Solanum lycopersicum: one gene and its partners. The protein of the gene in region 1 binds, or shares a complex with, the protein of each later gene. Links are inferred from orthologs where the notes say so. Each region holds a gene or a part of one and is shown in the gene's direction. Other genes may lie near its edges. The genes, in order: transcription initiation factor TFIID subunit 7, transcription initiation factor TFIID subunit 5, transcription initiation factor TFIID subunit 11, transcription initiation factor TFIID subunit 1, transcription initiation factor TFIID subunit 10, transcription initiation factor TFIID subunit 15b and transcription initiation factor TFIID subunit 15.

Region 1 (3,955 bases):
ATAAAAAAAGCTATTTTTTTTATTTCATACTAAGTGATTTTTTGAGATTTTTTTATTGTTTAAAATAATTGAATTGTTTAAAGTTCAAGACATATGTTTGGATTATTTTCTATTTTGTCCTTTCTTTTAATTGAGTTTTATATTTTCTACAGGATAACTTACACCATTTACAAAGTTATATTTATGATTCAAAAAAAGATAATATTAAAAAATATAATTTCAATTATGTCCTCAAACATTTTTCTTTAACAATGTGCATTGCCTCACTATACAATACAGTGCTATCCAAACAAAAAGTGTTAATATGGAATAGAAGAATTATTAGATTAACTGAGATCGTTAATTTTTATGATTGATCTTAAAGGCTCAAGAATCATAATTTACCACAGTGGCTACACCAATTAATCCAAAATTGAATTTTACCCAATTCATCATTATTTTATTTTAATTGTAGTTTTTTTCAATTTAAAAACTTTAAAATTTTCATATTGAATTCGAACAATTCATACCCTCGACTTAAAATAATAAATACTTCTTTATTTTTAACTTTTTTCTTTTTAAATTTGAACCTAGATATAAGTTTGGACAACTTTCATATATAGCAAACATAAAATGCATATTTGTATGTTATAATAAAGTTTGCATAATTGCACTCCATAGCAAACACATAAATGTATAATTCGCTATACATATACAATTGAAGCGAATTATATAAAATTAAGTGTGTAAAACTAGAAAGAGAAAGAGACTTGAACAGAGAATTGTATAAAACAAAGTGTATAAAACGAATTGTATAAAATGTAAAAGTGAGAAAGGCAAAAGAGACTTGGACAGGGAATATACAATTGAATCGAATTGTATAAAACGAGAAAGAGAGAAATTATATACAATTTAAATTTGTATAAAACGAAAAAGAGAGAAAGACAAAAGAAACTGGGTAGGAGAGCATTTTTATTGTTTAATTATAAGTGTATAAGACGAAAATATTTATAAATTTTCTCTCGCTTTATACAAATAGAAACACAATTTATACATTTCGATTAATATTATTATTTAAATCAGATTTGCTGACGTTATTATCATTATTTTAATTATAATATTATTTTTTAAAATATTTTTCACATTACCACCAAAATCATTCTAATTGCTATTAATTAGTGTCTCAATTTGCATAAATTCGACACACTTCCATTAAAATCATTTTTCATTCTCTCACTTTTCTCGAAACCCAGCTTCTTTTTTTTTTTTTTTTTTCTTCATCATCTCTGCTTCAACAATTGGCACTATTTTGTGGTGAGAATTCTATCAATTTACTATGTTAAAGAGAGAAGAATCGAAATTCCTACTTATTAAAGTTTTTTTTCGAAGGAATTTGTTTGATCTATTTCTATAAATTTTGATTCTTTATTCAAAGTAGAGTACAAATTACTCGTTTGAAAATTGTATGATTCTTGACTGATACTTATGGAGAAGATAGTGATGTCAAAAGGGTGGAGAAGATAGTGATGTCAAAAGGGTGGAGAAGATAGTGATGTCAAAAGGGTTCTTTGATTGAAAGTAGAAAATCAAGTTTAAGGGTGTTTCTGAAGTTATTTTTGTTTGGTCAAAAGATTCAATTTTTCTTCTAAATTTGTGCAGCCATGGATGAGCAATTTATTCTGAGGGTTCCACCTTCTGTTGCTGAGCGAATTGACCGTCTTTTAAGTGAAAATCCTTCTTCAGAAGACAAACTGGACTTGTCTTTTTCTGGTAACTTCTTTTTTTCTTTTGGAGTTCTAAATATTGTTGTGCAGGAGCTTATAGTTTTAAGTTGATGGTCAAGAATACACTGAACTATCAGGTGTTCATTGTTCCCTTTTATTACTTGAAATGTGGCAATTATTAAGGTAGGAAAAGGAAACAACTAATAGTTGAGGTGTCTTTTGGTAACTAGTTGGTGATGGTTTAGGTAGGAAAAGTAAATACCGGACAGTTTAGGTTGAAAACTCGCAAAAATGTGATATTTCAAGTGTGATTTTTGCCATTATCTTTATAATTTTTGACACAATTATTTGACATGTTGGCATTTACTCTTTAGATTTAAACTAGTCCTACTTCACACCAACATTCCTTTTATGTTGTTTCACATCGTTAATACTCTCGCATCACCTATCAAAACAGGAAACCATAGTCCTTCCATCTTTCGCTTCCCATGTGTTCGTATTGTCATTCCTTAAACCTTTGATTATTATTTTTATGATAGCCAGGGTGTCCGAGCCAACCTGTGTACACTTCAGCTAATTCCACAAAGTACTTGCTACCTCCGACCGTGCAAGTATTAGGTAACTCTTTTCACCAAAATTTGGACAGATGGGAAGAAATCATTAGTGTTTTTGCCTGTTGAACCTAGGACCTCACGGTTCTCAACCCACTTCATCGATCACTATTCACTAGGCCACCTCCGTGAGAGCTGAACCTTTTTACTCCCCCCTATATCTTCCAATTCCGTATACTGCTTCTGATTCAGAGAACCTTTGGGATTTAGAGAATCTGTGATTCGTCTTAAAAATGTTAAGTATTTAGTACTGGAATGAAATTTACTTGAATAGAGGGGAAAATACATAGAAGATTCATCCAAATCTAACTGATTTGGGATTGAGATGTGAATGATTAACTATAGACTGAATGGTTTTCCAAACAATTTTTATTCTCTGAGGTTATCTGGAATACCCATAAGAAGTTCCAAAATATTGGGGGTGTGAAGTTGTCAATAGAGCATAGTTTATTCTACTGTCGTTTTGATTGAATTTGTAAATTAATAGTCTTTGGTGTCCACAAGTTATATGGCCTCATCTGATTTCTAAGGCAGGATTTTCCCCCCATTGTGGCCCGCCATACCTAGGTCTTTTCTTTCATATGCTAATAAGTGAAAACATTGTGGTCTGAGTTTTGGATTTTTGTCCAGACCTCCCTGAGATCCAATGAGGATGAAAACTTCATCCTTGTTTAATTTCTTCTAAAGTGGGAAGAGAGGTTAAGTAGTCATTGTCTTCATAGGTAACTTTCTTAGGGATGCAGCTTAATATGTTCCAGTCCACTTGTTCCTTTTGAGTGAATTGTTTTTGGAAAAAATTGACTGCTTCAAAAGCTCTGCCATCTTCCCCTTCTATCCAATTCCCAAACTCATTCTTTATAGTCTTGAGCATAAGTCTCCTCCTTTTACTATTGATAACTGATGGAAGAACTTGGTGTTGTTGTCTCCTTCCTTAAGCCATTTAAGTGTAGCTTTTTGTCTAAAGTAAGTCTTCAGTTTTCAAATGCTTAATGAATTCAGCATTTGCCTTATTGTATTCTTGTCTGATGGTGCTAGAATGGTTGGTTTCCATTATGGTTTCAGGATCTTTTACCTTTTTTTCAAGCTTCTTGGTGTTTTAAAAAATGTCACCAATGCTGTTTTTTGACCACCAAGAAAGATGTTTGCGCACATTTTTAAGTTTCAAATGCATTTTCCACATTGGGTTGCCATGGACCTCAATGTTCCACGCATTTTGAATAACTCCCAAGTAGTCAGGTTGCTCTGTCCAAAAATCAAGAAACTTGAAGTACTTAATTCTCTGAGGAGTACCTGTAGAGAAAGAAAAGAAAACAGGTGACTGATCTGATCCTGTTCTTATGAGATGAGATATGCTAGAATCAGGAAAAGTCTTAATCCACTCGTCATTAGCCACGACTCTGTCTAGCCGTTTCCAAATCCTGTCTTCAGGGAATCTGCCATTACACCACGTGTATTTGGAGCCAATAAAGCCCAAGTCAAGCAAATTACAGTCCATTAGGCAGTCTAAGAAAGGTAATCTTTTGGCCATCCTGTGGGAGTTGCCCCCCTTTTTTTCTTCTGGACCAACGATGCAATTAAAGTCTCCTGTAACACACCAAGGAGATGAGATGTTAGCAGACCAGTCCCTCAAACTATCCCACA
Region 2 (3,261 bases), on another chromosome or scaffold:
AAACTGTGCATCAATATCACATGATGGATCACTAGTGGCTGGTGGATTCTCAGATTCATCTGTGAAGGTGCTTGTAGCTTCTGAATGACGTTGAAATTATGTTGTCACAAATTACAGTATCTGTTGATCCTTGATCATCTTCTTATCTTTTTTTTGGAACTGGTAACTTTGATCATCTTCTAATCTAAGTCCCCCATTTTACAGGTCTGGGACATGGCAAAGCTTGGGGAACAAACTGGTCCATGTAAGTCCAATATGATGGTCCTCAGCTCCTTTTCAATGTATTGTTATTTCATGTTTCAAGATGTTTTAGTGAATAGAGGTTGAAAAGGTCCCTTTTAATACTACTCCTAGTCACAGTATATCTCGCCAGGACAGCAAGAAAGATTTATTCTTTGCTGCTTTAATTTATTTGATAAGTAGATAAATTTTATTTCACTAAGAAACTGCACTAGGGTTGTGAAGTTTGTTACATCAGAAATTTGCTTAGCAGAAACATGATTAGTTATGAAGGTTTCTCGACTGAACATATAAATGCAGCTTTACATTTCTGATGGAAGTATTTCTTGAACTCCTTGCATTTTTCAATTAGGTAAATAATTTTAATCGAAAAGTCTCCTGTATACAATGCAGTACACAAAAAATAACTATATCAGAATATGATTCTAACAAACAATATCCTATTGTTTTTTTTTTGGAGAAAGTATCAGAATATGATTCTAACAAACAATATCCTACTGTTTTTTGTTTTTTTTGAGAAAGTAACATTTGTATTAAAGAAACTTGGTAAAAAGGTTGTGCTGGTAACCATGTGCAGCTTCCAAAAGTATTGGGAATCCTTTTACTTCTCACTAGGGATCTATCATGTCATATTGGATTCTACATCATTTACATAATCTCTTTGCACCAAAAACATAAACAACACAAAACAATTCATCTCTATCATTTGAATGAGGCTATTGCTGCCTTCAAAACATCTAGGGTTCCTTTCCTTCAAAGCTGTCAACCAAATGCTGGAGTGAGATCTCCCTGATTGTGCCAACATCTCAGTAAATCAGCTGTAGTTCTTGGCACTGTCCATCCGAGTCCAACTATGCTTGGGAAGAGTTGCTACAATTGAGCAGTTACACCAAGATGTAAGAACAGGTGTCTGTTAGACTCTTTAAGTCTGCACAGTATTACTAACATCTGGTGCTCAACTGGAATCCTCTCTTCTTTAAATTTATCGAGTTAGACTGGCCTATAAGAACTTCACTAATGCACCAAAAAGAATCAAGGGATTGAAAAGCTATTCCTTGAGTCTACATACTCGTTTTCTATCTCTTAAAAAGTCTTGAACCACTCCTATAATGTTGAAGTGATCAATAATTGAGAATTTTGTCACATGTCTTGTTATGACGCTCATCATGTATGCTAGTGGTTTAGATACTCCTAAGGAAAAGGCAAACATTTTGAATCCAAATGTTAACATGAGGTTTTTTTTTGAGGATAGTAACACTAATCTAAATATTCACAGCTAGACTACATCCAAAATATGTAGTCCCCTTCAAAAGGTATTGCAGTCTAGTAATATTGCCGTCTATCACCTATATTTCTTACAAATAATCCAAGACATCCCAGATATCTTGCGCTTGGACTAAAAAGTTCTCTTTTCACCAAAAATAAAATAAAGCTAGAGAATTCATCTTGAAGCTCTGAAGTCCATTCTGCTTGTCTTCAAAGCACCTCTGGTTAGAGTTTTCTCAAAAGGCCTGCATATCCACTATGGTTCAGGGCCGATCATAATCCCTATGATGTGATAATTCCGTTGAATAAGGTGGAATGTAAGTAAAAGAAATTCATTTATAAATACCAATTAAGTGCCAAACAATGCGTAGATGTCCATGTTACTTGGAAAAGTTTCCATATGATGCTATATTTCATGTTCTTTATTCATTCTTTGTTATTTCGTATTAATTATTTACTTCTTATTACAGCCTTTTATATAGTTGAGCTTGTGCTAAGTTGTTTATTCTTTTGCACCATCAGTAATATTCTGAATGTTGCATGTGATGTATCAGGTTGAGGGTAGTTTTGCTATAAAAATTGATTCCACCTTTATCTTGTCCTAAATTCTAAGTTGGATTTTCTTTTCTGATACTCTCACTACAATCCCTCAGGAAAATCTAGTTATATTGTAAAACTGGCATATTTGCCTTGAGCTGTCATATTCTAACTTGCAGAAAGGAAATAAGACAAATAGCTCATAGTTCCTTACAAATGCACGCCTTTGGAGCCAGCTGTTATGTTATTCTCTAAGGCATATCAGCAGTCAAGATTGATTCTTAAACTGATTTTTCAGCTCCATGAATTTGGTCTATTGGTAAGAGCACATCATGTAATGTTTGAGTTAGAGGCATGTCACGAGTTTGAACCCAACCACTTCAAAAAACATAGTTTTTAAGTATAGAATGTGAGAGGGGCGACTCCAATATCCACCGAGTTTTGGACTGCGTCGGCTAGCCCTCGGGGATTTCTGGGTTATCAATTTTCTTAAAAAAGCTGCTATCTCCATACTAATTGCTTATTGAGGGTTATCAATTTTCTTATAAAAGCTGCTATCTCCATACAAATTGCTTATTGAGGATGAATTTGAGCAGTTACTGAAGCAACTAATTTTGAATAATTTGTCCTTCAAAAATAAAACCCACATATCAAGAACTAAATGAAAGGTTATTGCTTCAGGGGTGTAGTTGTTCTTTAATATCTATAAAAGTATGTGAAAGCAATTTAACCAAGGATTAGTTTGTTTGACTCGCTGAAGCAAAAGAAGGCTACTACTTTGGGGCCAGGGTAGCCATAGATAGTCTGACGTCTTAGAGTATTGCTGTAAACAATCAACATCTTGCAAAACATGTCATTGTTAATGTGTGCCCCCCTGTCTCTCATACACACAAAAAATTGCCGAAACAGAAAAAAGAATGGTTGATGAACAGTGCTAGAACCAGCTTTTTTGCAGGGGGAGACTGATTCACCTTCAAGTGAGCATGTGCTTGGCGCAAATGGTGGAAGAAGATGTTATACATTACTTCAGGGCCATTCAGGGCCTGTTTATTCTGCATCATTCAGTCCGCACGGGGATTTTCTTCTTTCTTCATCATCAGATTCAACTGGTATGATATCATATGACTTTGATTGCTATTAGCTCTACAATAGTTCTTATTCATATGGATTATGATAGTTACTGAAGTTCTATATGCTTACTCTATAACCATGTGACCT
Region 3 (4,156 bases), on another chromosome or scaffold:
TTAAACGGAGAAAATAACTCAAGATCTAAAATAGTAAAAGAAACAAAAAAAAATTCATATCATGATGCAACCAACTAAATATTTTATTGCAAATGTTTCATCATGTAAGCAATATCAAATGAGACATTTTTAATATAATTTTTTCAAGGTTAATACTTGCCACTTGAACCACTATCTTCATGATCAATAGAATGTGCGTTGAGTGAGCTGCATACACATGTTCCATCAACACAAATACATTTTGGAAACATATTTTCATGATTGTTACAATCATCTGTTGTGCTACATTTTCTCATGCCTGTCGCCACATCTAAAAAGTTATAAAACAATTGTTAACATTTTATAATACGTATTGACAAAGTAAAGAACTACAAAATCAACTGATCTGAAGGAAAAATGATAAGAGGAAAACAAAATAGACTAACCACAAGAAGCAATCAAGAAAGCAACAACAAAAAGTGCCATAATCGAAGTTTTGTCCATCTTTTTGTAAAATAATAAAACCTTTAAGAATTTTAGAGTGTTTCTTAGTTTTTATCGTACACAACCTTATATAGCATTTAGCATTGAAAACTTTCAAAAGAAAAAAATTTATTACAATAGTCTTGTTTTAGACTTTTAGTGATTTTCTTTTATAAATTTCTTGATTTGATTAATTGGTCAACAAAATTCTTTGTACTTAGTCAAAGAAATATTAAAATTCTAATTACTAACCATAAAAGAACAAAACTAAAAATGTTTTTAAAGTATGTGATATTCATTTAATTTGCTCTCCCTTGTATATGGGCCAAAATGAAAATAATTTGGTTAAAATCCTAGGCCCATTACTAAAAAACCATCTGTGATTTGTTTGGCCACAATTGCAAGAAGGTAAATGAAGGGTTGCGTATCGATTTCGTTTGATTTGAGGTTTATTGGTTATTGATTTAGAGATGTGCTAAATTATTTTAGAACTATTAAAATATTAACTTATCAGTTATCGATTTATTAATTATCAACTGTTATTGATTTGGTAATTTGTTTAACCGTTAAGATTTGATTTAAAATAATCACTTAAAAATACTGTGACGAACAAAATGAGTGGACATGTAAGTTCACATATCACATCACTGTTGAATAATCGAGAATTTGAGACACTCAAAAATAAAAAAGATAAATTTATATAGTAAATCAAGGACATTATCTACTAAATTGTATAAATATAATTCTTTAATTTACAATCAAGTTATTAGTTAATCCATTAAAAAAAATAATTTCAAATCATTAAAACTAATATCTCACTAATTAAAAAAAATCAAAATCGTTATTAAAACCGCTAAATCAATAATTTATTATCAGAGGCAATAACCTTTTTTTATTGGGATTATCTGTTTCCGTCCGCTTGAACTGCCCTAATTCATGAATCCAATCAAATCCGACCCGACCCGACCCATGAGCTAATCCAATTTAAACCCACAACCACATCAGCGAAATCGACCCGTCAAATTTCTTCAGACCGGCCGCCGGCACGCTCGCCGGAATTATCTTTGGTGAGAGATCAGTATCACAGAATTTGGCTCGCCAGGTATTTTTCTTTCTATTTGGATTGATCAATTATGATTTTGCCTAATATTGCAATGAACAATTTTTTTGGATAATCGTGGTGTCCGGGCTAGCTTTCGTGCAGTTCAATTGTTTGAAATCAGCTGGAAATCTTTCCGTTTATGACCTATTTCATGCTACAGCTGTTCACATACCTTAGATTTGTTCCGTGTTTATTTCGTTGGCAGAACCGATCCATTCCATTAGGGGAGGCCTGTTTCATGCTATAGCTGTTCACACTTTAGTTTTGGAAATGTTTTTAGGTTAAATCACATGCAAAGCTTGAATCTTTAAGGGTTGTTTGGTACAGGGAATGGGATAGACAAAGTTATCCTACCATATATATGATGGGATAAACAATCTCGGGACTAACTAATTTCCCTAACCAGATGCAGGATAAAATAGTCCTGCATTTTGTCTCGGAATTGTTATTCCTTATCCATCATACCAAACGACTCCTTATAGTCTTAGTTTTGTGACTTAGGATGTACCGGGAGGATGTCTTTGTATACCCACCAGGGCTTTGGTTATTGAGTGATGTGGTGGTTAGGCGTAAGTTACGTGTTCAAACCCTTTTGTTGGAAAAGCCTGGTATTTAAGTGGGAAGGGTAAAGGAATGAGCCCATTATACACCACAACAGACTGCAGGATCCTATCGGTTATGAAAAAGAAGAGAGGATATCTTATCATTGCTTCGTTGATGAAAATTTAACAGGGCAATAACTGCAGTTATATAACAAAAAATGTACCAGCGCAAGTAGACAACTACTTAACCTTTTGGTCTCACTTGAAATAGTACATTGTTTTTTTGTTGAAACTGATAACATGAAATAGTACAGTATTTGTCTTCTATATTTCATTTTTATCTTAATCTAGACATATTGAAGGATGGTGTAGCTTCTAGTTCAAACTTCAACAATGTTTCTTTGACATTGTTGCTTCATCCTTATCTTTACTTTCCTTCCTTCCGAATGCTTTAATCTTTTTCATCCTTGCAATGATCATTTGATTTGAGAATATCTGAGCTGCATCAGTTCAACTCCATTAATTTATCAATCGACCTGGTTGGAGAGTGTGGCCATTTTGTGAGGTCCAAATCAATCTAGTTATAATTTACCATGCCTCCCTAAAAAATTGTCTTGAACATATCACATTATTGTGTTGGAAGTTGGTATATCTCAATCAAAATGGATGAATGATTAGCATGGTGAATAATTTACTTGAATCTAAACATTCTGGTGCAGCGAATTCTATGAAGCGATCTAAGGATCCTTTTGAGGCTACTTTTGAGGAGCAGGATGACTCACCCCCTGAATCCCCTGCTGGAACCGATGAGAATGAAGGCCAAGATCAAGGTGCAGTTGGTGTTAATATGAATGAAGGTGACGATGTTAATACCGATTCTCGTGAAAAACCTTCAACATCTAAAGCTACATCAGTCTCTGTTAGTACTGCTGGTCCAATTAGCAAACCCAAAGAGGAAGATGAGGAGGAAGAGGAAGAAAGCATGGATGTGCAGTTAGGAAAACTCTCATCAAGTAGTGATCCTGACAAACTGGCGAAGATGCAGTAAGTTTGTCAGTTTATGTTTTCAAATATCTCGAACTCTTTCTGTTTACAAGGATTCCATTCACAGAAGATTGTCAAGATTGTATGCTATTATCCTGTTCTGTGATAGCTTATGTGGGTGGTTGGACCTGCCTACTGATCAATTTGCATAAAAGAATAACTCCTTTTCTGATGATTTCTATCCCTTCCTCTCACCTTCCTTTCTTTCCTTGTTGATTTGTTACTCAGACTATTAATTTAACTCTCTTTTGTATGCTGTATTCCCTCAGTATATCTGCTGTATCATTTTTTTTTTAACAAAAAGTATGTATATATAACCAGCAGGTCAATGCTTCTATTGAGATCTGTGAACAGATCTCATCTAGCTTGATATGCTTGATTTACTGCAGATAAACACCAGTAGGAAATATAGTAGCTGTTAAATAATAAATTGACATTTTGTATCAGCATTGTTAAGTAAGGGCAATATGGAGAATAACTAATTTAGTATGGAAGAAACCATATTGTGGTCAAGGCCAATAAAATGGGAATTGTACATTGCAGTTATATATATACTTGTTATGCTAAAGTTTTTCTTCTGCACCTCCTTGTTAAACAACAATATACCTAGTATAATCCCATAAGTGGGTTCTGGGAGGGTAAGATGCACGGAGACCCTACCCCTACCTTTGTGGGATAGAGAGGTTGTTTGGATACATCCCTGGCTTAAAAGGGAAGCTATTCATTGAAGGGTTGCAATAAGAAAACATGAAAACAAAATATCAGGACACATAGCAAAATGAAGCAACAAATAGTAGAAACACATAGAAAAATAAGAAACTATGCGAGTTACTAAATACTACTACTAATAAGGAGAAGAGGATATGGCATTGCCTCTCCCACCAAACGGGCGACCACACGCGGCTACCTACTAAATTTCTACTCTAATGCTCGACCTCCAGGCCTTCCTATCTAGGGTCTGCACCTCGTTTTTACGTGAGCTCAGTTTAGAATATTTTTCTATCCT
Region 4 (3,500 bases), on another chromosome or scaffold:
GGCGCATGTCACTAAGTTCGAACCCTGTCGTAGAAAAGGTTTGTTATTTAAGTTAAGTGTGGAGGGACTGACCCATCATCTGCCAAGTTTAAAATTGTGCACTACCTGGTCCGTGGGGATTTCTCATTTATTAAATAGAAGTAACTGGTTGTCTGATTATCATCACTATCTAACTGTAGGAATTTTAATTTTTACCATGATAAGGATGATCTGATGAGACGCTAATTTTTGTCCTGATATACATCCAGCACTCTCTAGGTGCTGTGATAGATGAATAATATGCCTTTCTTTATAATAAGAAAGGTGATCTATGTCAAAGTTGACTAGTCTGTTGCATTGGTTAAGTGGAGATTTGTTTCGCACATAAGTAGTTTATTGGTATGAATTTTTGGAAGTACTTTTTCTTGTTTCTTGTTGTAATGGAAATTCAAAATATCCAAGTAGGATGCTGAAGAATTTTACTTTCTGAGATGTAACTGAAGCCAATTGTTTTCCCTGTGAATTGTGCAAATAACATCTTAAATGCTATCTGTCTAGAGGTGGATATATGAAGCATTAAAAGATCCTTTTTCTTTCATCTATATTTTTGGTGCAATGTGTACGGCCCCCTTTTGTATAGCAGCTGGATGTATTTGACAGAGGACTACTCTATAAAAATATCTATACATATTTTGTGACCACCTTTGTGTTATTGATGAATAAAGATTTTTTTGTTTCAATCTAAATTTTAGGTGTGAGGAATAGACCCCTTTTTGTATAACAATTGGATAGATTTTAAAACGTAGCACTATATTCAATCACATGGTACATATTTTCATCACCACCTTGTTGTGTTTCTGGTGAAACCTTTTGATTTAAAATATTGAAAGAGAATTTTATCACTTCTTTTCATGTATATAAAACTTTAAGATGTTTTTCCTTAGTCTGCTCAACATTTTTGTCTGCTCTTCTACTTGCAGATACTGTGAGGAGAGACCTTTGCTCCTTGGAAATGTTGGAATGGGTGCAAGATTGTGTACTTACTACCAAAAATTATCTCCAAATGATCAGCAAGGCACCTTGTTGCGCAATGGAAATACTGGATTGGGGAGTGTACTCACACTTGATCCTTCTGATAAATCCCCCTTCCTTGGGGATATAAAACCTGGTTGCAGCCAGTCATCTCTTGAAACAAATATGTATAGGGCACCGATTTTTCAGCAGAAGGTCTCATCAACTGATTATTTGTTGGTTCGCTCAACAAAGGGTAAGCTGTCCATAAGGCGGATAGACAGGATTGATGTTGTAGGGCAACAGGTTGTCTACTATCCTTAACTTGTCTCATTGGAGTAATTTCTTGATCACGCTATGCAAATTTTATGTTATCATTTTCTGATGAACTTTTTGCTAAAATATTGATTGTTTTAGTAGAATTTATCGAACCACGGCATCAAGAAAATTTCTGGGTTCATGTTATTATGCTTTTGCCAGTAATGAACCTAAAGCAATGAGCTGTTGCATAATAAGGTTGAATTTTGAAATTCAGAAGGCATATGAATTGGTCCTCCTGTGATGGGGTTGCCTTTGATTTTCTCATATTTTTGCATTGTCCACATGCATTCTTCTTGAAGCATTCAACTTGTTTTGCTAGATCTGGTTAGAACTTCTCTTGATGTTACATTGCCTTGCCTGATCTGTTCATTTGTGCGATGGAAAACTACCTTTGATGACCAGTTGCATATTCAAAATACACACCTTTACTATATCTTTTGATGATGATGTGAGGTGCGGGGCCTGAGTGTCAGGTCATGCCAATGAGTTGATACTATTCCAGGCCCTGGATGGTGGAGTATCTGATTGTAGTTTGACAGATCTGAAATAAATAATCTAAAATTGGATGATCCGGAATTCGTGAAGGAAATGGATTCGAAGCTACATAATTTATTCAATTCATATGCTTTTTTTTCATTTTTTATTCCTGGAGGAAGTAGAGTTTGCTTTGCATTAGTTGTGGTTAACTACATTATCTTTGGATTTTTCTACTTATTGGTCATGGAGGTATATTGGTGTGCATTCTCGCTATAAACCCAATTAACTTTCAACTATTGTTGCAAAATTTGCAATAGTGGACAATTCACTTTGTCCTCTAGATTTTGCTATCCTATTAAATATTGGATTTTTCTTTGTGCAGTATGCTAACACATGCTTCTGTAATGTGCAACATGCTATAGCTATGTCGATGCTTATACCTGAAGAGGATAACCAAGTTTCTTTAATGTGCAAGCATGCTATAGCTATTAGCATCTTATGCTTGAAGAGGATGATCTATCATGAATAATTTATGACTAATATCTGTTTGTTGTTGCTTCTGTATGAATATGTGATGGATCTATTTCCTTGTTTAATCTGCCTTTCCCTGTATTCTTGAAGGAGCCTCACATGGAGGTAATCTCTCCTGGATCAAAAGGTGTTCAGACCTACATAATGAACAGACTATTGGTGTATATGTATCGTGAATTTCGTGCTATTGAAAAGCGCGGTTCCCGTCCTTCCATCCGTGCGGATGAGCTGTCTGCACAGTTCCCTAGCTTGTCAGAGGCCTTTCTTAGGAAAAGACTCAAACATTGTGCTGATTTGCAGGTACTTTTGTGAACATCATTCAATTCCTGGGTAAATTCTTAGTACAGGCATTAGAGGGAAATAATTTATTCGAACTCGTCTTTGTCGCATTCTGTGTGCTCCTTCCCCTTATGTGTCTGTCGTAAGTTACTTGGGTGCTGACATGATGCAGAGAAGATCAAATGGACAGTTCCAATGGGTTATGAGGTTCAATTTTCGGATACCATCCGAGGAGGAATTGAGGAGACTAGTTTCGCCGGAAAGTGTGAGTTCTTTCAAAAGATCCTTGTTTTAAATTTCTCTTTCATCTCCTCCATCCCCCTGAAAAGATCTCCCTCCCTCCAATTTAAAAATATTCTTTAATTGATGAATTAAGAGATATTATGCGCTTGTCAAAATAACTTGGGATACAAATAACACTTTCTTAAAGCTTCATCTTTCGATTATGATGGAGTTTTCCACTTTAGCACATTTGGTATTGGGAGGAGGCTTAATCTTCAGATGTGCATTCAAATTTAGACGTCTTCATCTATAATATATAGTATATCTTTTGATGAAGTAATGTTTCAAAGGATGCAAAGTCACTGGAGGCTAGTTACCAAAGAATAAAAGAGTAGGAGAACACTGTTTGCCCCATATACAATGTCTCAATAAAGAACTAAAGTGCTAATAAAATCCAAAAGCTATGCTGAATTAGTTACTGGGAACAACGTTGTCCAACAAAAGAGATCTAAACATTTAGCTGAAGAGAATGGCTTGGAGTTGAGATGCCATCAAAAAATTTTCTGTTATTCTCTGTCCAAAGGCTCCAAAAATTAGCAGCAGACATCATCAACCAGGTCTTCTTGATGGTCTTATCAATTTTCCGAGGACTCCAACTCACATATGCCTCTCTCGGATTC
Region 5 (4,284 bases), on another chromosome or scaffold:
TAAAAATGCGAACAGTAAGTACCTTTACTACTGCTTCTCCATCAGTCTCTCCATCGGCGATTGTTCAAAAATCGCCATGGCATTCGCCGGCGCCGTATCTATTCGCCGGCGTAGCGTCCATGCTAGTGTTAATAACTTTTGCTTTAGTAATCCTAGCTTGTTCTTACTGGAGACGATCCGGCTATCCGAGAGAAAACGGCGATGTAGAATCCGGCGACGGCGAGAAATCGACCGGTGATGTTTTCAAGGCGTCGCCGGTTTTTGAGGAGAAAATAGTTGTGATAATGGCTGGAGATTTGAATCCAACTTTTTTGGCTACGCCTATTTCGAGTAGAGGTAATTCGTTTGGTGCTGGTGATAAAATTGAGAAGAAATTGGAAAAGGAAACTGAAGAATTTGATGATGAGAAGGCGAAAGATGAAGCTATGGATCAAGCTCATGAAGAATCTCAAATCGGCCATTGATGAAGCTACTGAGCTTTGAAAAAAAAAAAACAGAGCAATTTTCTCTATTTTTTTTTTTGAGTTCTTCCATTTTTGGTTTAATTTTTCAATTTTGAGATTCGGGAAATTGTACTCAATTTTGGTTGAGATAACAAAGAGTTAGAAAAAATTTTCGTTTTCGAGTAATATGTTTTCACGGAAATTGTTACTTCGATTTGATACGTGTTTTATTAGCTAACGATAATCATAAGAGTCATTTTGCTAAAAAATAAATAGATCGTTTTTAAATTTTTCAATGAAAAAAGTAAAATTGATGATATATTTTTAATATAATGAATGAAAAGAGTAGAATCAATTATATATCGATTTAGAAAATGAATTATTTGAAGAATCTCGAATGTATGTGCATATGTGACGTTTGCGATTTTATATCTATTGTGATTTACTAATTATATTTGATAATTTATAGTAATTAAATATGATTTAAAAATCATGCTTATTCATGCAATTTATAGGTCGTATCTATCGAATATGATATATAGTTAATCTATAAATTGAGTTACTATTAATATGTAATTTATAAATTATATTTATCTAATATAACTTTCAAATGATGCAAATCAAATGTGATATTAGTCATATTTGTGAAACATGATTTATAATCGTGCTTACCAAATCATTCAAGTACCAATTAAGTTACTCAATTGTATTGTAATTAAATTAGTTATCAAATAATATCCAAATTGTTTACTCAATAATAATATAATTCATTTTAATCTTCTATGATAGAGAAGAATAAAATGGCTAACATAAGTGATTATGAGTGTGTGTATATATATATATATATATACTTCAATGTAAATTTTAATTGCGTTTGGTTTGATAGAGAATAAAATAATTTAATTATATTTTTATTTTATAATTTTTTTAAATGTTATGAACTATCAAATTTAAAAAATAAAATAAAATATAATTTTTTTTTTTACGAAATATTATCGTTAGCTAGGTAAATATATATGCCCCTCTTCGCGAACGAATTTCACATAACAAAAATACAATTCTCCTCTATCTTAGGCCTTTTCTCATTTTTTTTCTTTTTTGCACAATTGTGGAGAAACAATTTTGAATTTTAAAAAATAATCAAAATTATAATATTTCTATATCCTAGAAGGAAAATAATATTACTTTTTCAATATGTGAGTTTAAAAATAATTTTTATATATATTTTTAAATATTTTAAATTATCGTAACCATAGTAATTTTACTTACCTATTACTAGAATATTTTTCTTCAGTTTCTTCTTCCGATTTTTTTCTCAAAGTAAAAAGGCACAAATCTTCCCCAATTTTCCTCCGGCGAAATTGAAACTCCGACCACCGCCGATCCTCCGTTGACTCTGTTTCGACGGTGAAGATGAACCAAAGTCAAGGTCAACAAACAAGTGAAGGAAGACACGAGGATGATGCTGTTCTAGCCGATTTCCTTGCTTCCTTGATGGACTATACTCCCACTGTGAGCTACTTTTTGCCCTTTTTCTTACTGAAGAGATCAATTTTATGTTTTATTTATGTAGGTTAACGCTTTTGATCAGATTCCTGATGAATTGGTGGAGCATTACTTGGGTAAAAGTGGATTTCAATGTCCTGATGTTCGATTGTATGTATTTTCTTCCCATTCTTATGTTGATGTTTCTGCAATTTAGCCTGCTTAGATTAGTTATAGAAAAATTGTTTGGATTGCTCATAAGGAAGATATGATTTTCGTGTGTTTATCTAGAACTATTTTCACTAGGTTTATCCTCTGTCTTGAGCTAACCGTAGTCTTTAAACTCGAATACGATGAACGCGCTCCTCAACCTACGTTTATTTTGCTTGGCGTAGCGAAAGCTCTACACTTTTGCCAAGTGAGCTAAGCCCTGGGGGTTCAAAGGGAGATATTATGTTACTGCAGCAAACAAATAAATTGGGCAAAGGTGCCCATATAATGATGTAAAATCCAGCTTGGGAGGATGTCCTCCCAAGATATTTCCTTCAACGAAGTAATAGAAAACTTAGCTGAATTATGTGCTAGTTTTGTTTAGACTTCTCGGAATATGAACAAAGTCTACATGATCAAGCAAGCTCTTAGCTTCCAAATGTCTTCACAAGTCACCTCTATCTCCCATGAGGTAGTTAACTTTTTCCTGAATCATAATCAATAACACTCTTTGCTTCCAATAGGATTCTCACATCCTTCCAATTGTTCCTGATTGTACGTTCAAGAGCCACTCTTAAAGCAAGTGCTTCAACAGTCATAGCTTTTCCCGCAAACTGGATTGGGGAAACATGGGCATGAATCAGTTTTCCAAGGCTTTCCAGAGCTGCAACACCAATATTTGCCAGTCCAGTATCCACCTGTAAACCTGCATCAGTAAACAATAATATAACATCTTGGTGGGTTGTTGGTGGAGCCGCAAGGCAATACCCATTTTTATGAAAATTAGATGAGCAATTAGCTGAATATCTTTATACTCGTAGCAATCAAACAGTGACTAAGCGGCAGTATTCTCTAGTTCCGTTTTTGTTTTGATCGTTTTCTATTTATCTGGTTTAGCAGTAAATTCAAGTAAAATTTATATATCTGTGAATTGGATTGGTATTTACCTTTTTACAAGTTGTAAATTTTAATATTGTAGCATTTGATGTTTTGTTTGACAGTGATGGCTGGTTTATCTTATGTTATCAGTTTTTAATACTGTGTTGTTGTATTGAGTTTTTCCTTTGGATATGCAGAATAAGGTTGGTGGCAGTTGCTACTCAGAAGTTTATTGCAGATGTGGCTACTGATGCTCTCCAGTATGTTTCTTAATTATTTTATTTTTCTTGAATTCTGTTTCCTCCTCCATCTTATGTTAAGTATGCTGCTAATTCTTCGGCATATTGCTCATCGATTGTCCCCTACTCTTGAGGCTTCAATGCAATTGTTGCCTGTCTAGGTGTTTGTCATTGTATGATCCTTCCAACTTTTAAGTGTTCAAGTTGTTCTCCTCCCCCAAACCTTAAAAAAACTCTTTTTGGTTCGTCTCTAATGAATTAGAAACATTAAGTTGGTAATTTTAGAATCCAAGCCTGTTATATTTTTAAAGACTGCCGACCCTAACTTGACTACACTACCAAAAATACAACACCTGAAATTCTCTATTGTTAGCGCAATAATACTACTACCTCAGGAGATTATTGTGTCTGTGACACTCCAAAACCTTAGAAAAGAGACAAAGAAACAGAAAAATACAATATAAAGAAACTAAGATATGACTTGAGTAGACATGTAGAAAGACCTTGTTTCAGAATATATGATTACAAATAACAAAGCATCCAACTTTCTCTGAACTTCCTTTCTTAATGTTTCCAATGGATTGTTATTTTCCTAATGCTTCTACTGGATTGTGGTAGATCTTCTCAACTGTGACAAATCAGTTGTGTTTTGTTTCGTTATCGACTCAAGATTTTGTGAATGCCTCACTTTACTCACTATTTTGCCTTCACTAGTCGTAATGAAAGTAAAACTCATGAAATGCTGTGAGTCTTTTGAGGATAGATTATGGCTTTATCATCGGAAGAAAGAATAAGAGTTTATGAATGGTCTCTTATGTATCCTTCATGTTTAGAAAGAAATGGATATTTATGAAACGGGCCATTCCAATAGAGAAACAACATAATGCCAGTGGTTGAAAGCAGGCAGGTCGATGAAAGTTAGGATATATCAGGAGCAAGGGGTATCTCCATTGGTATTCTGTGTAGAGACTAGAAATATGGTTGAGACAACAAGATGGCAGTGGTTGAAGGAAGGAAAGTTGATGACT
Region 6 (2,105 bases), on another chromosome or scaffold:
CAGTTGTGCTACAATTCACAGTTTATGTCAACTCACAACATGTCTTAGTGGTTATGCTGTGGAATGTATGCAGAGTTAGCAAGTGTGTTTAACTAGATAGTGGATGTATGGTTATTTTTATGAATTCTCCAGAGTTTTGGTTGTTTATCAAGTAGATGATCAGAGTTGTTCTTGCATCTGATGTTGACTCTAATTGCTGTGCCAAATTTCATACTAAAGTTGCATGCCTAAAATTCATACTTGATCGCATAGGGTGTCTGTATTGAAGTTTAATTTCAATAATTATTTTCAGTAAATTGTTAACATCATTGATACATTGATTTGTTCCCAGAGAAAAGCGAATTAAGCAATCAAATTTCATCTCTATAACTTGGTACTACATTTGTCCTTTATGAGGTGCATGGGAACCCGGTTAATCATAATTGTGTGGCTTCATTAGTAAACATTTTTTCTTTATCCTGCAAAAATATATTCATCAGCATCATCTATGTATATTTCAATGTAAAACTGTAAAGTTACATATTTCAATAGTGCTTTCAAGAATTAGTGTTTTTGTAATTTTTTTTGCATGTTGTATGTTGTAATTGTGTTTTTAATCGATGTCCATTTTTGCTACTTGAAAATCCACTTGCTGATTGACACCCTATGCATTCTTCCTGCCCTATGTTCTTTCTATTGCCATTTAGAACTGTTTATATATTTTATTGGCTCAAGGTTTAGAAAATGTTTAATCTATTGGATTGAATGAAGAATATGTTGTTTCTTTTATATTATATAGTTCCATCGGGTTAATGATATATTTGGCTGGCTTTATTTAAGCTGAGGGTATATCGGAAACCACCCCTCTATTTCTACGAGATAGGGTAAGGTCTGCGTAGTCTACTACCCTCCTAGACCCTCTTGTGGGATTGCACTGGTTATGTTGTTATTTGTTGGGTTAAATTTATAAATGGGATGGGGGACCTTTTGTGTATGCTGAACTTACGACTCCCTGTGCTAACCTGTATAGTAAATATATCTCTTATGCTCATGTCTGTCTATACTTTGACAGCCGTGGCGGTCGCGGAGGTTATGGTGGTGGTGGTGGCGGGCGCAGGGATAACTACAGAGACGGTGGAGGTTCCGGCCCAGATAGACAGTTTCATGGTGGAAATCGTTCACGTCCTTATTGAGTTCCAGTCGAGCATTTTATGTACTAAAATTTGTGGTGGGAGGGTTTTTTAGTTAGTTCCATTTCAAGATATACTCTCTGTGACTTAAAAGAGGTAGGCTGTTAACTCACTTCCATTTGAGCAATATCCACCTTCTCTTCTTTCTTTCTGCTACTTGGGGTTGCGTAAGGGGTGGGGTTTTCTAGTTCAGAACCTTTTTTGATATGTTGAATGTTTTGATAGAGGCGATTGGATATTCTGCAAATTGCTGCTAAGGTAGGTGAAATATTCAGGTGAGTGTTACTACTGTGGAAAACCGATTACTCTGGTAATTTAAGCTGAATGATGTTTGGTCTCTTTAAGTGATTTTGCTTGCATTTTGGAAATGCTAGCATCTCTGCACTAGACCCCTTGTATAATGAATTTGTTTCCTATATGATGTTGCTGTTAATTACTTGTACTGTTTTCTTTTATTGTGTATCTGCTAGTTCAGTTTCTCTTCCATGGAAGAATATGGAGGACAAGTCTCTTGTACTAAACACATTTTTCAGCATGAATGGCGGAGTACAATGGTGAAGTACTTGGTAATTTAATTGTAGGGATTAATGTTTGGATCAGAAAAAAGACATCCGACCACACAGCTATACAAATAATGATGATGTGTTAGTTACAATTTGAGAAAACAAGACTGTAAATTGATTGTTTGGTCTGAGTGCTTGCATGTTGGTTCTCAATCTATTCACAGGAAATAGGACCAGTGTCCAATTTTTTTGTCGTTCTAAATAAAATTCCGAGTGGCAATAGTTTTTCTTTGTGTGGAGCATACATTGGAAGTAGCTTGAATTTTCATTTTGGTACTTCTGCAGGTTTTTTGTACCCCATTTTTAGCCATGTGTCTGTTTTTATCATTTTCAAATTTGGTACAACAAATGAGTACTTTTTAGTGGGTAGTAG
Region 7 (4,172 bases), on another chromosome or scaffold:
AATTATTATTTATTATGTATAGTTATTATTATATATTGTTATTATTATTATTATAGTTAATATTATAATTAATATTTTATTTTTATCTTTTATTATTATAATTATCATTAGTATTATTTATTATTATTATTATTATATATTATCATTATTATTATTATTATACTTATAATAATAATGATAGTAATAATAATAATAATAATAATATAATTACAATAATAATAACATTATATTATTATTATTATTATATATTATTATCATTATAATATTATTATTATTATTTTATTATTATTATTATTATTATTATTATTTGTTATTATTATTATTTATTATTATAATATATTATTATTATAATAATAATAATTATTATTATTACAATAATTATAATAATAATAATAATAATAATAATAGTTGTTATTATTATATTATTATTATTATTTTCATATTAAATCATTATTATTATTATTTATTATTATTATTATAATTATTATTATTGTTATTTATACACAATTTATGATAATAAGGAAATATGTGAATGATAGCAAAATATAATTACTGATGGATGTAAAATATAAATTAATTTTGTTTCAGTTTTTGAAGTATAAAAATCGTAAATTAATCAACTTTTATCATGTTCACAACATTTATGGTATTTTAGACATTTTGATTAAAAAAGTGTTTACCAGCACTTATTTGTCAAACACATCAACAACCTTTTTTTAATTTCAGCACTTTTAGCCAAACACATAACTGCGTATTTTAAAAATAAGTTCCAACATTTTCAAAAGTACTTTTTAAAAGCTACTTTTAAGTCTATCCAAATGGGCTTTGAATCTTCACTATATAAATATAAATATAAAAACAAAAATTTTCTCTTTTCTCTTTAGTTTATACAATTTCTTCTACACTGTATAAATATACTAATTATACTATTCACCAAACAACGATAAATCCATAGTTTGCTAACATATGTTTTCTCTTTTCTCTTTACTTTATACAATTTCTTCTATACTGTATAAATATACTAATTATACAATTCACCAAACAGTAATTCTTCTGAGTTTACAAACATAAGCTTTTTCTTTTCTCTTTTCTCTTTACTTTATACAATTTCTTCTGCACTGTATAATATACTAATTATACAATTCACCAAACAGCTATTCATCCGTAGCAAACTACAATTTTGTTACGAAATGTAATTTTGAAAAGTTTGTCATTGCATAAAATTAAGAATTTTATATTTGTTATATGTGAAAGTTGTCCAAGAAATATTGTGTAGTTGTTTAATTTTTTTTTTCAAAAAAATAATTGTTTGTGCACTAGGCTCAAATGGATTTTGAACTCTTAGGCCCAAATTCGTGCAATGGATAAAAATGGACCCAACCCAAACACAATACATATTGTTTATTGGTTTCTGCCCCAATTTCAAAGGCACTCTTATTATACGGCGAAGTTGGCGCCGGCGAAATTGCTCTCTCTCCGTTGTTCTCCGGTGGATCTCTTCAGTACAGCCCCGGCGTAATCGAGTTGTAAGTCCCTCTCTAGATTCTTATTGTCAAAATTAAAACCCTAATTCCATTTTCACTCATGACTTGCATTGCTTCGCTTGTAATCTCACTGTATAACAAACCCTAGAATCCAACTTGTATAGTTCGTCGTGGATTGTACTCGAATTTACATACTACTTTCTTATTAATGGCTCCTAAATTCTATGTATTGCCAATCTGCCTGCCTTCACACACTGAAAAAGATTCAAGACTTATAAATATATTTTTTTTCCATGTGTTGTGGGTTTCATCTCCTTTTCGATAGGGTAAGATGAAAGTCATTAAAAATATACGTGCTGTCCTTATTGTATCAACCTATCGGAACATGATAGGCTATGGTAAAATTCATCAACTTTAAATCAACTCTTGTTCGGGTCCAAATAGTTTAGAAAATGCATGAAGGAGCAATCTTTCGAACTTTGTTGAATTTTTTGATATCTCTGTCCTTGCCACTATACATCTCCTGGCATATCCCAACAGACAGCAAACAAATTGAGAAATGACTGAACTAGCAAGGCTTGACTACAATAGAGAAATAGGTTTCTGCTGCTTTCCTGGTAACATTCACAGAAGAAACATCTACTGCACAAGGACACACCTTCTCTTTCAAGATTGTCCTGAATACAGGCATTCCTGGTTGCTTTTGGTTCCAACTCTACCAATACAAGTTACCTTGGAGGTACCTTTGATTTCCAAATAATTTTCAAAGGCTAATCCATATCTCAATCATGGGATTGCTTTTGTAGATCATAGCAACTCTTTACAGTAAAGTCTACTCTTTCTAGCCAGCCACTTCAATGAATTAATATTAATATCTTTTGCAGATACAGGTTGCAGAACCTCTTTAGAAGACCAAACTCATAACTCTCTAGTCTTTCCCAATCTTTGAGGTTTCTTCTAACTTCTAAGTTGTAGATGTTATCTAGTATTAGAGAAACAAACAGCCATCAGTTTATCATGCACTTCCTATTTAATGAAGTAGGGACCTCATTTTTTAGTATCACAATATCTAACTAGTGATCCAGTCAGAATCTGATGCATTTGCCGATTCCCACAACTCTGCTAGTAAAAGAGTTGAACTACCTTTAATAAGGATAAATATGCTTCCAAATAGTAGTTTCTATTAGTTATTAGTGATTTTAGGAGTCCACTGGTCCTCCTTGCCACATATGGTATTGATACTTTAGTTTTCATCTTTGAGTCTCCAAAGCCATTTGATTAGTAAGCTTTTGTTTTGAAGCCTGTTGTTCTGGTTATGGTGCATGTTTTTGTCAATGTTTAGCATGTCTTGCACTGTATTGTTCTCCATTTTTGAGCTATTGCAATGCTGGAACAAAGAGAGCAGGCTGTGCAAGAAATCCCCAAATACTTGGAATAGCATTCCTTGAGCCATTTGGTGGACTATATGGCTTGAAAGAAATAGCAGATTTTTTCTTAGGCAACTGAAGAATCAGACATACCCTTAAACAAAACTGTATACTTTTTTCGATCTTTTTAGTGCAAACTGGTTATTGAACATGATGAAGATGCTAGCCTAGATGCAATAGTGGATATGCTCAATGCCTCAAATCTCAATCTTTAGTTACATTTTGTGGCACTGACTTAGTGCAAGTACTTATAACATCATTGATAAGGAAAAAAATAGTGCGGGAGAGATATGAAGGATCATATAGCCAATACTAATTAGTTTGGGATGAAGACGTAGTTGATTGATTGATAAATCAGAGTTCCTGATAATTTTCTCAACTTGTTGCAAAAATTAACAGGCATCGACATGTGAAGGTCCCTAGTAGTGTTCTCAAATTGGGTATACTCGAAAGTATTGTATTCTACACGTGCTTTTAGCCCATTGACCTGAAATTCTATACTCATAAAGGACAATAACTACTTAGCTCTTTCCTTAATGTATTACAAGATTGCAGTAAGAAAACATTAACCAATTTCCAGCTGTTTTGGAAAATTTACTGCCAAGTGGCATTTGTCTCTAATCCCACCACTTAAAAGTTGGCTTCGTCCCAACTTCCTCCCTACACCCTATCTTATATAAAAAAAATTTCTTTAGTTATCTCTTCATTTCTTCTGGTTTGGTCCTTTGACTTGCACATACTCTGGTGCTTTTCTCAGTTTAATATGATTTGCCTGTAGTTACTTTTAAGGACAGGGGAACTGTGGCAGGACTAATACTAGGTTGTTGCTTTATGCAGTTCTTGGGGTTTTTATTGTGTCATTGGATTTGATGAAATTGGAGCATAAATGGCAAGCTATTCAGGGAAAGGATCTACATTAAATGGTTCTGTGTATGTCTGTAACTTGCCCCTTGGTACAGATGAAGATATGCTAGCTGAATATTTTGGCACAATAGGGGTGCTAAAGGTATGGTTGTGAACAGGTACTTCTAATTATGTTCGAGAATGTTTGTTATATGCTCTCTCCCACTTCCCCCTACTCTGCTTTGAACAGATCACTTTGATTTTTTTATTCTTTTCTAAGGATTTGTTTTGCTTCATGTTGTAGAAAGACAAACGAAGCGGTAGGCCCAAGATATGGTTATACCGTGATAAAGTTACTAATGAGCCCAAAGGCGATGCCACAGTCACATATGAAGACCCTCATGCTGCATTAGCTGCT

What was found.
Region 2: transcription initiation factor TFIID subunit 7 (region 1) and transcription initiation factor TFIID subunit 5 share a complex: the UniProt entries of both Arabidopsis thaliana proteins name them as parts of the TFIID complex. The link is inferred for Solanum lycopersicum from reciprocal best matches to the Arabidopsis thaliana genes TAF7 and TAF5.
Region 3: transcription initiation factor TFIID subunit 7 (region 1) and transcription initiation factor TFIID subunit 11 share a complex: the UniProt entries of both Arabidopsis thaliana proteins name them as parts of the TFIID complex. The link is inferred for Solanum lycopersicum from reciprocal best matches to the Arabidopsis thaliana genes TAF7 and TAF11.
Region 4: transcription initiation factor TFIID subunit 7 (region 1) and transcription initiation factor TFIID subunit 1 share a complex: the UniProt entries of both Arabidopsis thaliana proteins name them as parts of the TFIID complex. The link is inferred for Solanum lycopersicum from reciprocal best matches to the Arabidopsis thaliana genes TAF7 and HAF01.
Region 5: transcription initiation factor TFIID subunit 7 (region 1) and transcription initiation factor TFIID subunit 10 share a complex: the UniProt entries of both Arabidopsis thaliana proteins name them as parts of the TFIID complex. The link is inferred for Solanum lycopersicum from reciprocal best matches to the Arabidopsis thaliana genes TAF7 and TAFII15.
Region 6: transcription initiation factor TFIID subunit 7 (region 1) and transcription initiation factor TFIID subunit 15b share a complex: the UniProt entries of both Arabidopsis thaliana proteins name them as parts of the TFIID complex. The link is inferred for Solanum lycopersicum from reciprocal best matches to the Arabidopsis thaliana genes TAF7 and TAF15b.
Region 7: transcription initiation factor TFIID subunit 7 (region 1) and transcription initiation factor TFIID subunit 15 share a complex: the UniProt entries of both Arabidopsis thaliana proteins name them as parts of the TFIID complex. The link is inferred for Solanum lycopersicum from reciprocal best matches to the Arabidopsis thaliana genes TAF7 and TAF15.

What each region holds. Positions count from the first base shown.
Region 1 is NC_090803.1:63,319,516-63,323,470, forward strand, and holds the start of transcription initiation factor TFIID subunit 7, read left to right. Parts: upstream 1-1,155; 5' UTR 1,156-1,293; exon of another isoform or gene 1,294-1,557; intron 1,558-1,638; 5' UTR 1,639-1,640; coding exon 1,641-1,749; intron 1,750-3,955. UniProt on the Arabidopsis thaliana protein: TAFs are components of the transcription factor IID (TFIID) complex that is essential for mediating regulation of RNA polymerase transcription.
Region 2 is NC_090805.1:43,588,075-43,591,335, forward strand, and holds part of transcription initiation factor TFIID subunit 5, read left to right. Parts: coding exon 1-67; intron 68-204; coding exon 205-244; intron 245-2,987; coding exon 2,988-3,152; intron 3,153-3,261. UniProt on the Arabidopsis thaliana protein: TAFs are components of the transcription factor IID (TFIID) complex that is essential for mediating regulation of RNA polymerase transcription.
Region 3 is NC_090804.1:5,061,233-5,065,388, reverse strand, and holds the start of transcription initiation factor TFIID subunit 11, read left to right. Parts: upstream 1-1,356; 5' UTR 1,357-1,564; intron 1,565-2,825; 5' UTR 2,826-2,833; coding exon 2,834-3,150; intron 3,151-4,156. UniProt on the Arabidopsis thaliana protein: TAFs are components of the transcription factor IID (TFIID) complex that is essential for mediating regulation of RNA polymerase transcription.
Region 4 is NC_090806.1:3,258,954-3,262,453, forward strand, and holds part of transcription initiation factor TFIID subunit 1, read left to right. Parts: intron 1-959; coding exon 960-1,296; intron 1,297-2,409; coding exon 2,410-2,619; intron 2,620-2,770; coding exon 2,771-2,863; intron 2,864-3,500. UniProt on the Arabidopsis thaliana protein: TAFs are components of the transcription factor IID (TFIID) complex that is essential for mediating regulation of RNA polymerase transcription. Core scaffold of the TFIID complex.
Region 5 is NC_090811.1:67,585,591-67,589,874, reverse strand, and holds the start of transcription initiation factor TFIID subunit 10, read left to right. Parts: upstream 1-1,484; 5' UTR 1,485-1,856; coding exon 1,857-1,955; intron 1,956-2,034; coding exon 2,035-2,099; intron 2,100-3,214; coding exon 3,215-3,277; intron 3,278-4,284. Other genes in the region: protein GLUTAMINE DUMPER 2, read left to right, coding at 6-464. UniProt on the Arabidopsis thaliana protein: TAFs are components of the transcription factor IID (TFIID) complex that is essential for mediating regulation of RNA polymerase transcription.
Region 6 is NC_090805.1:50,539,679-50,541,783, forward strand, and holds the end of transcription initiation factor TFIID subunit 15b, read left to right. Parts: intron 1-1,051; coding exon 1,052-1,172; 3' UTR 1,173-1,605; downstream 1,606-2,105. UniProt on the Arabidopsis thaliana protein: TAFs are components of the transcription factor IID (TFIID) complex that is essential for mediating regulation of RNA polymerase transcription.
Region 7 is NC_090810.1:45,838,641-45,842,812, forward strand, and holds the start of transcription initiation factor TFIID subunit 15, read left to right. Parts: upstream 1-1,372; 5' UTR 1,373-1,526; intron 1,527-3,748; 5' UTR 3,749-3,797; coding exon 3,798-3,917; exon of another isoform or gene 3,918-3,933; intron 3,934-4,058; coding exon 4,059-4,172. UniProt on the Arabidopsis thaliana protein: TAFs are components of the transcription factor IID (TFIID) complex that is essential for mediating regulation of RNA polymerase transcription.